Daphnia pulex: one gene and its partner. The protein of the gene in region 1 purifies or fractionates together with the protein of each later gene. This does not show direct contact. Links are inferred from orthologs where the notes say so. Each region holds a gene or a part of one and is shown in the gene's direction. Other genes may lie near its edges.

Evidence for each region.
Region 2: the proteins of ubiquitin carboxyl-terminal hydrolase 22-like (region 1) and histone acetyltransferase KAT2A-like purify together in Drosophila melanogaster (affinity purification with western blotting, with the first as the bait; 3 studies listed by BioGRID). This does not show direct contact. The link is inferred for Daphnia pulex from reciprocal best matches to the Drosophila melanogaster genes not and Gcn5.

What each region holds. Positions count from the first base shown.
Region 1 is NC_060023.1:10,811,844-10,816,254, forward strand, and holds the start of ubiquitin carboxyl-terminal hydrolase 22-like, read left to right. Parts: upstream 1-1,329; 5' UTR 1,330-1,544; coding exon 1,545-1,667; intron 1,668-1,727; coding exon 1,728-1,860; intron 1,861-1,921; coding exon 1,922-2,137; intron 2,138-2,202; coding exon 2,203-2,375; intron 2,376-2,484; coding exon 2,485-2,630; intron 2,631-2,699; coding exon 2,700-2,819; intron 2,820-2,893; coding exon 2,894-3,152; intron 3,153-3,235; coding exon 3,236-3,414; intron 3,415-3,501; coding exon 3,502-3,651; intron 3,652-3,745; coding exon 3,746-3,788; 3' UTR 3,789-4,411. UniProt on the Drosophila melanogaster protein: Histone deubiquitinating component of the transcription regulatory histone acetylation (HAT) complex SAGA. Catalyzes the deubiquitination of histone H2B, thereby acting as a coactivator in a large subset of genes.
Region 2 is NC_060028.1:7,764,765-7,769,308, reverse strand, and holds the start of histone acetyltransferase KAT2A-like, read left to right. Parts: upstream 1-1,634; 5' UTR 1,635-1,822; coding exon 1,823-1,987; intron 1,988-2,102; coding exon 2,103-2,381; intron 2,382-2,462; coding exon 2,463-2,600; intron 2,601-2,655; coding exon 2,656-2,789; intron 2,790-2,860; coding exon 2,861-3,153; intron 3,154-3,219; coding exon 3,220-3,310; intron 3,311-3,372; coding exon 3,373-3,517; intron 3,518-3,587; coding exon 3,588-3,793; intron 3,794-3,863; coding exon 3,864-4,084; intron 4,085-4,142; coding exon 4,143-4,303; intron 4,304-4,373; coding exon 4,374-4,544. Other genes in the region: thyroid receptor-interacting protein 6-like, read left to right, coding at 24-144, 209-340; centromere protein S-like, read right to left, coding at 692-838, 900-966, 1,036-1,193, 1,251-1,265.

The sequences.
Region 1 (4,411 bases):
TCGGTTGGTTGGCAGCGAAAAAAGAAAAGAGATGAAAAACACAATTCCACGATGGCCGATTATGGCATAATTGGATACACCAGCAGGTCTCGAGAGAAAAAAGGGAATTACCGTATACTTATATGGGCTGGTCATCAGCAGGGCGAAGCCATAGGGTTGTTGGATACGTTTGAAAGTATAGAAAAACATGTATATACTTAAATATTGGGAAGCGAGTTCTTCTCCAGCGGCCATTTAGACACATTTCCAGTTTCTTCTTCACGTCCTCGAGGGGCTTTGGGAGTCCTTTTTTTTTCTATTATCAGCTATAAAGTTAAGCTTCGAGAACCTAAAAGAAAAGAAAAATAAAATGAAAAAGAATCCATTTTGAAGGGCATTTCGACTATATAACACTGGCAGACATCCCCAAGTTCTTTTCTTCAAGATTTTGACTTTCAAGGCCACAAGATTATTCCACAACAGCATCATTATTCACGACACATCGTGTCCAATTGGATATCACATGGTTTTTTGGCCACCTCGAAAGCGTTATTATGAAAATTTCGCGTCAAGAATGACTTAACACGTGGGGAGAGATAACTATTTACACACACACACCAGCTGATTGACCATGTCGAATTTATTAACCTTGGATTGATCTTAATTCATTCAGACATGTGGCGATTGAAATGCATCGCCGACATAATCTAGTTTGATTGCCAAAATTGATTGCAAACCAGTTGCCACTTACTTATGGCAGAAATGTGATGTGTTGCACACGTCGTCGATCTCGGCCATTGTGGTCGAATATCGTCGATAAAGGAGACGGTGACGTTTGGTTATTTCACGGCTCGTTGCAATAGCTCAACTTTCGATTTTATTCCACTCCGTTTCACTTCATCCAAGGGCTTCATCATCCGTGTAAACATCACTTTCCAACATTGTTGTTTTTTTAATGCAAGAGTTTCACATTCCACGAGCATTTTGATTCTGGCAAAACGTCTTCTTCGAAATCCCGACCTCATTTTCACCCAGCCAAAACATTGCCAATTATCTTGAATTCGGAAGAAAAGGGGGAAACAAAAACACGTTTCGTTCCAATCTTTTGAAATCATTATATAAAATGAGGTTATCTCCTGGGGAATTGCTTCCTGCACCAAAAAAAAAGTTCACTAGTCCATGTATTATTTCCGAACAAAAGCTAGCGGTTACCACATTTCCGGCGGCCAGGATATAATTGATTTGTTGTCTGCGGTTTTCACACAAAAATCTCCCTCCATTTTTCCTCAAAAAAATCTTGTCTGCTCAACGTTGCACGAGGTTGTTATTTTGGACAGAAGATGGCGATGGCGCTTTACCATTTTAGCAGAATAAATTTTTTTTTTTGGCCTACAGAAAAGGAAAGAAGCTATGGCGTTTAGATAAATTGTTTCTTCTTGAGAAAGCCGTCGAGGTTGGGCTTGTAGAGGCCGAAATTTATTAATTTTCTATAAGGTCTCTATTAAAACGTGTGGAATTATAAAGCCGCCAACATTTTGCCCAAGTCTAATTCACCGTCGGTGGCCATGTCGGCTGCCCATGGCTGTCTCCACTTGAACAACTTCAAAGCGGCCAAGGGGACTAGGCCCTACCGGCTCATTCATTCCTTTTTTGTGGCATGCACATCTTCAGAAGCCCGTAAACGCAAGGTAAGAGTTCAAGTATTGTTTCTTTTAAATCACTCCTTTACTCATCATTTTTGTTGCTAGGCCAAATCGTGTGTGTGTCATGTCTGTCAGCGAAGAGGACCCAGGCTTCATGCCTGCCTTCACTGCATTTTCTTTGGCTGCTATGGTGCTGGTCACATACAGGCCCACTCTCAGCAGCGGAAACATTTCTTAGGTAATTCGACAACCAAAAATCAAATCTCATTGATACTAATGCAGCCTCCTTTTTTTTACAGCTGTAGATCTGACTTATGGAGTTGTGTGCTGCTTTCAGTGTGGGGATTACGTCTATGACCGAGAATTGGAAACTATTGCTCAAAAGCATCAAACCAAAGCTTCTCTCTCCTTGGGACTGGGTCAAGTCTATCATTCATGGGAACCTTCTGAGGAAGAAATTGAGCTCCTCAAAAAGCATACACGACGCAAGAAGATCACAGACTCTGCCACTATCGGTTCATTATTTAAAAAAATTCATTATCCAATCTTTTATCTTAACTCCATGTTTCATTCATGGCAGGACTCAGAGGTCTAGTGAATTTGGGCAACACCTGTTTCATGAACTGCATAGTACAGGCTCTCTTAAAAGTACCTCTTCTCAGAGATTTCTTCTTGTCGGATCGTCATATTTGTCAGTTCCAAGACGAACCGAGTCGCTGTCTGGTCTGCGAAATCTCTCGCCTATTCCAAGAGGTATGTCATCCAAAAAACAAGAATCCTCGTTTCCTGTGAGAAATCTATTTTCGGATTCATAACACTCCTACTAGACTTATCGCTTCTTTTTTAATCTTCTCTTTCGCAGTTCTATTCGGGGAACAAGGCTCCTCTGACATTGCACCGACTTCTTCACTTGATATGGACTCACGCTCGTCATTTAGCTGGATATGAACAGCAAGACGCCCACGAATTTTTCATAGCAACTTTGGATGTACTCCATCGACACTGCAGGTGAAATTATTCATTGGCTATAAAAGTCGTGAGAAACGTGACATTCTAAATATAAATGATTTTTAACAGAGGACCAAATGAGCAACAGTCGACTCAGCCTCAAGAGAACTCTGTCAATCGGTGCACATGTATCATAGATCAAATTTTCACTGGTGGTTTGCAGTCAGACGTCGTTTGTCAAGCTTGCCAGTAATAACTATTTCAAATGTTTGATGTCCTAAATTTGCTGGTCTTAACGGTTATTTTGTTTTTGTTCACTGCAGCGGTGTCTCTACAACAGTAGATCCTTTTTGGGATATTTCCCTGGACCTCGGTCCGTCACCCAGCACGAAAGTCGTCACCACTGGCAACGGCCCTGGATCGATTCCCACTTCCTTGCAGGACTGTTTGGAGCGATTCACCCGGGCAGAGCACTTGGGATCTTCGGCTAAGATCAAGTGTTCGCGATGTCTTAGCTACCAAGAATCCACAAAACAACTGACGATGAAGAAACTGCCAGTGGTTGCTAGTTTTCACCTAAAGGTGCGTATTGTTTTGTTTTTTTATTGACTTTGAACGTCATATTATGAACCACTCATCGTTATTTTTTTCTTTACTTTATGCAGCGCTTTGAACATTCCAATCGATTCCATAAGAAGATCTCGTCATTCATCGCCTTTCCAGAATACCTGGACATGAGTCCATTCATGTCCCACCGTCGAAACATCAATAACAACGTCAATTCGGATTCTCCGGACCGGGCTGATAGGCCCGTCCACAAGCCCCTTATTTCCACTGAAAACATGTAAACTTGTTGCTCGGTTTATTGAGAAAACGACCGAATGTGACTGTGACGGAATCCTCGTTGCTTCCTTCCTTCTCACCCCACCAGGTATTCTCTATTTGCTGTGATCAACCACGTCGGAACCATTGAAGCCGGTCACTACACGGCCTACATCCGGCAGCACCGAGACCATTGGTTCAAGTGCGATGACCATCTCATCACCAAAGCTGATATTCGCGACGTCCTCCAAAGTGAAGGGTATCAAATATTCCACAAAAACAAACTTAGTTTAAAATATTTTGCAATTTGCTTGGTTGTTCTTGGATATTAATTGGGTGATTTGGTTTTTCAGGTACCTACTCTTCTACCACAAGATGATATTGGAGTATGAATAGAAATGGAGAAGAAAAATGTTTGTAAAGGGCAGCTCAACCGAGTCAACTTTTTTTTTTTTGCATGCAACATCCATCCCTCCATTCACAAGACCTTTTTTTTGTTTGTTTTGTTTTTCCTTTTTTAATTTCCCTTTCTCACTTCCACTTCCAGACAGTTCATCGGCGGTTAATGACCGTAGAAAACGACCATTTTCATTTTTTCTTTTTTCACGATTCAATAAAATATGAAAAAAACACAAAATGGTTAGAACAAGGAATTGAAAGACGAAAAAAAAAGCGAGATTTCTCTGACATAAACCCTCCCATTGGTGTTTCTGCCCTTTGGATTCTTTTGATTGTAAATCCCAAGCAACTCTCTCTCCACCCCGCTCCTCCTTCGATCAAAGGTATATATAGTCATTTCCGGCTATTCTCCACCCGAACCCCTTCTCCCGAATCCGAATCACATACACGAGATCTACTTAAAACAGGAAACAAAAATGGACGAAGACCACACGACCATCCGCAATTGATTTATTTTTATTTTTGCGGATGGCTGGATTTCTTTCCCTATTTTATTGCGCACCTTCGATTTTCTTTTCGACATACTCTCTCGAATCTATGTGTTCAGTGTCGTTTCCTAG
Region 2 (4,544 bases), on another chromosome or scaffold:
AATACTATAATATTTGGTTTTAGGAAATTCGCTCCGCGCTGCTCTGTTTGTCACGATCCCATCATGCCAGAGCCTGGACAGGAAGAAACTGTTCGTGTTGTCGCTCTGGATCGGAGCTTTCACGTACAATGTTACAAATGCGAGGTAACTTGGCATATATTTACTTTTCTAATTGTCAACATCCTAACATGGTTTTTTGGGATATTAGGACTGCGATTTAGTTCTATCGTCGGAAGCTGAAGGGCGCGGTTGTTACCCGTTGGATGGGCGTGTCCTGTGTAAATCCTGCAATGCCATAAGAGTCAATGCGTTGACTTCCACCACTTCGACCGAGCTTTAAAGAAAATATTTCACGTTTTAGAAGACAAATGGAAGGGAAACTAAACAAGGAAAATGTGTCGGTGACTTTTAAAAAAATATATTTCCGCTATGTAACTCTGTATTAAATGACGAGTGCCTGACGACAGGACACAATTAAACGACATTCGACCATTTATTTGGTAGCCATAAAAAAAATAATAATCGGTTGGAATTTCTACGCCTCTTAATATGTATTCGGTGTTTCTATTTGCGGCGATTTAGAAGCGTCGTTTATTTTAATTATTTTTGATGTTCCGCATACCACATAATCCTCCCAAACGCACAAAACGACTGTCTTCCCTGATGTAGAACAATACAGCTTAGATCATAGTCATGTGAACATGTCATCATCATCTGTGTCCAGAGTCACTTCTGGTGGAACAGTCTCGATTTTCTTCTTCTTCACCAATGCTTTCCCCTTGTCTATTTTTGCATTATCCTCTGAGTTGGTTGATCCTAGTGTTTCTACTATGGCTTTCTGTAATAATTTTTCAATGGACTCAATTGGCTTCTCACAATGTTTTTACTTGAATACTTACTAAATCTTCATTCCTTCGAACCAGCAGCTTCACATCATCTCCATTGATTGTTGTGCGCTTTCCATGCCTCAATAAACAAATGTAAATAACAATGCATACATCTTATTTTAACATAAGCGATCAAGAAAATTAATACTTGGCAAAAGCTTCCAAATCTTGTGTAACCAGCTTGATCTTTTGCCAGACAATTTCATTTATTGTTGCTATCACATGCTTGTCAAAACTAATGTGAGTTCTAGCTTCCTGTTCTTCACACATTTTACCCACGGTAAAATGCAATGACGCTTTCAGCCGCTGTAAGTAAAAACGAAAATTATGTGCGATTCATGGTCTGCTAATAGATTTGCTTACTTCTTCGTGATCCATATTTACATCCAGGTTATTCCCCCATACAATTACACAGGAAAGTACACCTGAAGTTTAGTCCTTCAAGAAACAGATTTCGTAAACAGGGTAAATTTTTTAAATCTTCAGACGTAAATTCATAATTTCTTATGTTGTTGACTTGTTGTTAAGTGAAGTTGGAGTCAAACATCAGTGTCGGATTTTTTCAAATCGTATTTTAAAAGGCGATTTTCTTCACTTGTTTTTTTCGACAGTTTTTTAGTTTCTCACTTGCTGTCTTATGTCAAGTTTAAATTTTAAAAAATCTTTTCTTCATAAAATTAATTTTTATGTTTCGTTTTTCCGTTCCCAAAAACATAAGGATAAAGGTAAATGTGGCAATCTTGCGCCACCGGGGGTAAACAAAAATTTTCGCGACGCGCCTGGATTTCTGCTAGAAATCCCCGTAATTCCCCTAATTGCGTACTTCTGAGTTCAGTTAGTATATTTATGACGTTCACTAAAAGTGATGTACAACTACAAGAAAGGATATCAGATTTTGGTTTCCCGTGAATTTCAAGAATAAAAACATTTCCAATATGACTGACACTTCTAACCCAGTTGCGGCAAATAACAACTCAGCTGCTGGCGTTGGTACGAATCGTATGAACAACATTCAAAAAATTCAACTGCGGAAGCAGCAGGTTCGTGAATGGCCACATCCTAAGAAATTGGAAAAGCTAGCTGTTTATTCAAGTTGCAAGGTGGGTTTTCATTTTCAATGTTCTATAATGAACATGCTTTATTTCTTAAGATTATTTTTATTTTTATAATGAAGAACCACTTAACTGAGACATTTCTCCATAATTATTTTTTCAGTTTGATGAAAATTGCAAATGCAATGGATGGAAAAATCCTACTACACCACCAAATGTCAACAATACAGGAATAAATGTGGTTCTTCCATCAGCAAATTTAACTGATCCATGCCGCAGTTGTTCACATAACCTTTCAGATCATGTATCTCACTTGATAAATTCCAGTAATGAAGAACTAAACCAACTTTTAAGTCTGGTAGTGGACATAGAAAATTTATTTGTCTGTGTTAACAAGGAAGAAGATCCAGACAACAAACAAGTCTACTTTTGCCTTTTTAAAGTAATAACATTTGAAATCATTTTAGTGAAACAAGTATTATAAAAATGTTTTCTTAAATTTTCTTATTTTTTTGGAATATAGCTCTTGAGGAAATGTATAATGCAGATGACAAAACCAGTTGTAGAAGGGCCTTTAGGCTCTCCACCCTTTGAAAAACTAAGTATTAGCAAGGGTGTTACTAATTTTGTCATGTTCAAATACAGTCAACAAATCCCCAAGGTAAGAAATCAAAGTTATCCTTTAAAACATTAAATTAAATTTATTGTGTTCATAGGAGTTTCAAAAAATGTGTGATCTTGCCAAAATGTTTATCCACTGTTTAAATCACTGGAAATTGGAAACCCCTACTCAGTGGAAACAACATTATCCACAAGCTGACCTCTCCGTGTATCGAATTAGTTACACGAGGTAAACCTATTTTCAGTTTAAATTAGCTTTTGAAATTTTATTTTTAACTTAAAAATATTACACTCTGGCAGGTGGTTATGCTATTGCAATGTTCCGAGCTATTGCGACTCCCTACCGCAATATGAAACTAGTGCTATTTTTGGTCGGTCCTTTCTTCGACTGGTCTATTCCACCGTGCAGCGACAGCTCATGGATCGTTTCTTAGCCGAGAAAGACCGACTGCCACCCGAACGACGGGATATGATCATAAATAATTTTCCGAAGTTCTTGGCAGACATGGAAATGGAACTAGGAAATGATGCATCGCCTGTGTGGGATCCGTCGTATGTTCATCGACTCCCAAATCAACAGGAGAACATCAAAGGTATTTATTTCATTGCTTTCCAACTTATTAATGTTTAATCTAATTCTTGATAATTCTTGATATTAGAGGAAAATGTAACCCAGTCCAGCAACGAAGCAACCTTCCATCGTTTGACAAACAGCGGGATTGTCAGATCAATTTCCAAAGATGTAGAAAAGTAATGTCGAAACTTCATGTCCACCCTATGTCTACATGGAAATAATTTTCAATTTTAATTAGGAACTTGTTAAAGCGGCAAGTTGACAGCGAACCTAGTGTGGAAGGTGATGCGAAAAGGGTACGTTTGGATCATGACATATCTGAAGAAACTGTCGCCACAATTCTTGCCGTAATTAATGACCCCAAAAAGATGCTTGGTCCCGAAGTAAGCCAACAAATTTCTTACGTGTAAAGAATTAAGCTCTTCTAAACAGAGCTTTATTTTGGTTTTCCAGAGCGTCTTCCCAGAAAATGCACCAAGAGACGAAGCGGCAAAACAGGAAGAACGTCGTGGTTTGATATCCTTTCACGTAGTGGGAAATTCTCTTACTCAGACCGTATCCAAACAAACCATGTCATGGTTGGTTGGGTTACAAAATGTTTTTTCGCATCAATTACCACGAATGCCGAAAGAATACATCACACGGTTGGTTTTCGATTGGTGAGTCCTAAATTTTGTCTCTTATACTTTAAATCACCAAAGTTACAAATGTTATCCAATTTACGTGTAGCAAGCATCGGACTTTGGCGTTGATCAAAGATGGTCGACCAATCGGTGGTATCTGTTTTCGAATGTTCCCCATCCAAGGTTTCACCGAGATCGTATTCTGTGCCGTTACCTCCTCAGAGCAGGTTAAAGGGTACGGAACTCACTTGATGAATCACATTAAGGATTACCATATCAAACACAATGTACTTCACTTTCTTACCTTTGCCGACGAATACGCCATTGGTGAGCAAACAAAATTTTTTATTTTCAAATAATTTTCCTAATGCAGTGTGATGTGCAGGTTATTTCAAGAAACAAGGGTTTAGTAAAGAAATAAAGCTTCCAAAGTCCGTTTATAACGGTTACATCAAGGACTACGAAGGAGCAACTCTAATGGGATGCGAGTTAAATCCCCGTATTATTTACACAGAGTTTACCGCAATCATTCGAAAGCAGAAAGAGGTCTTACCCAGATTTAATATCCAACATTATTGTTCCTTTCTTAATTGTTTTTTTTTTTTTTAATTTTTAGATTGTCAAACATCTAATTGAAATGAAGCAGCAAGAAATTAGCCAAGTTCATCCAGGTCTCAATTGCTTTAAAGATGGTGTTCGAGAGATTCCTATTGACAGTATTCCCGGACTGAAATTGACGGGCTGGCGACCATCCAATGGCTACGGATCTAAGCGTCTAATCGAAGAG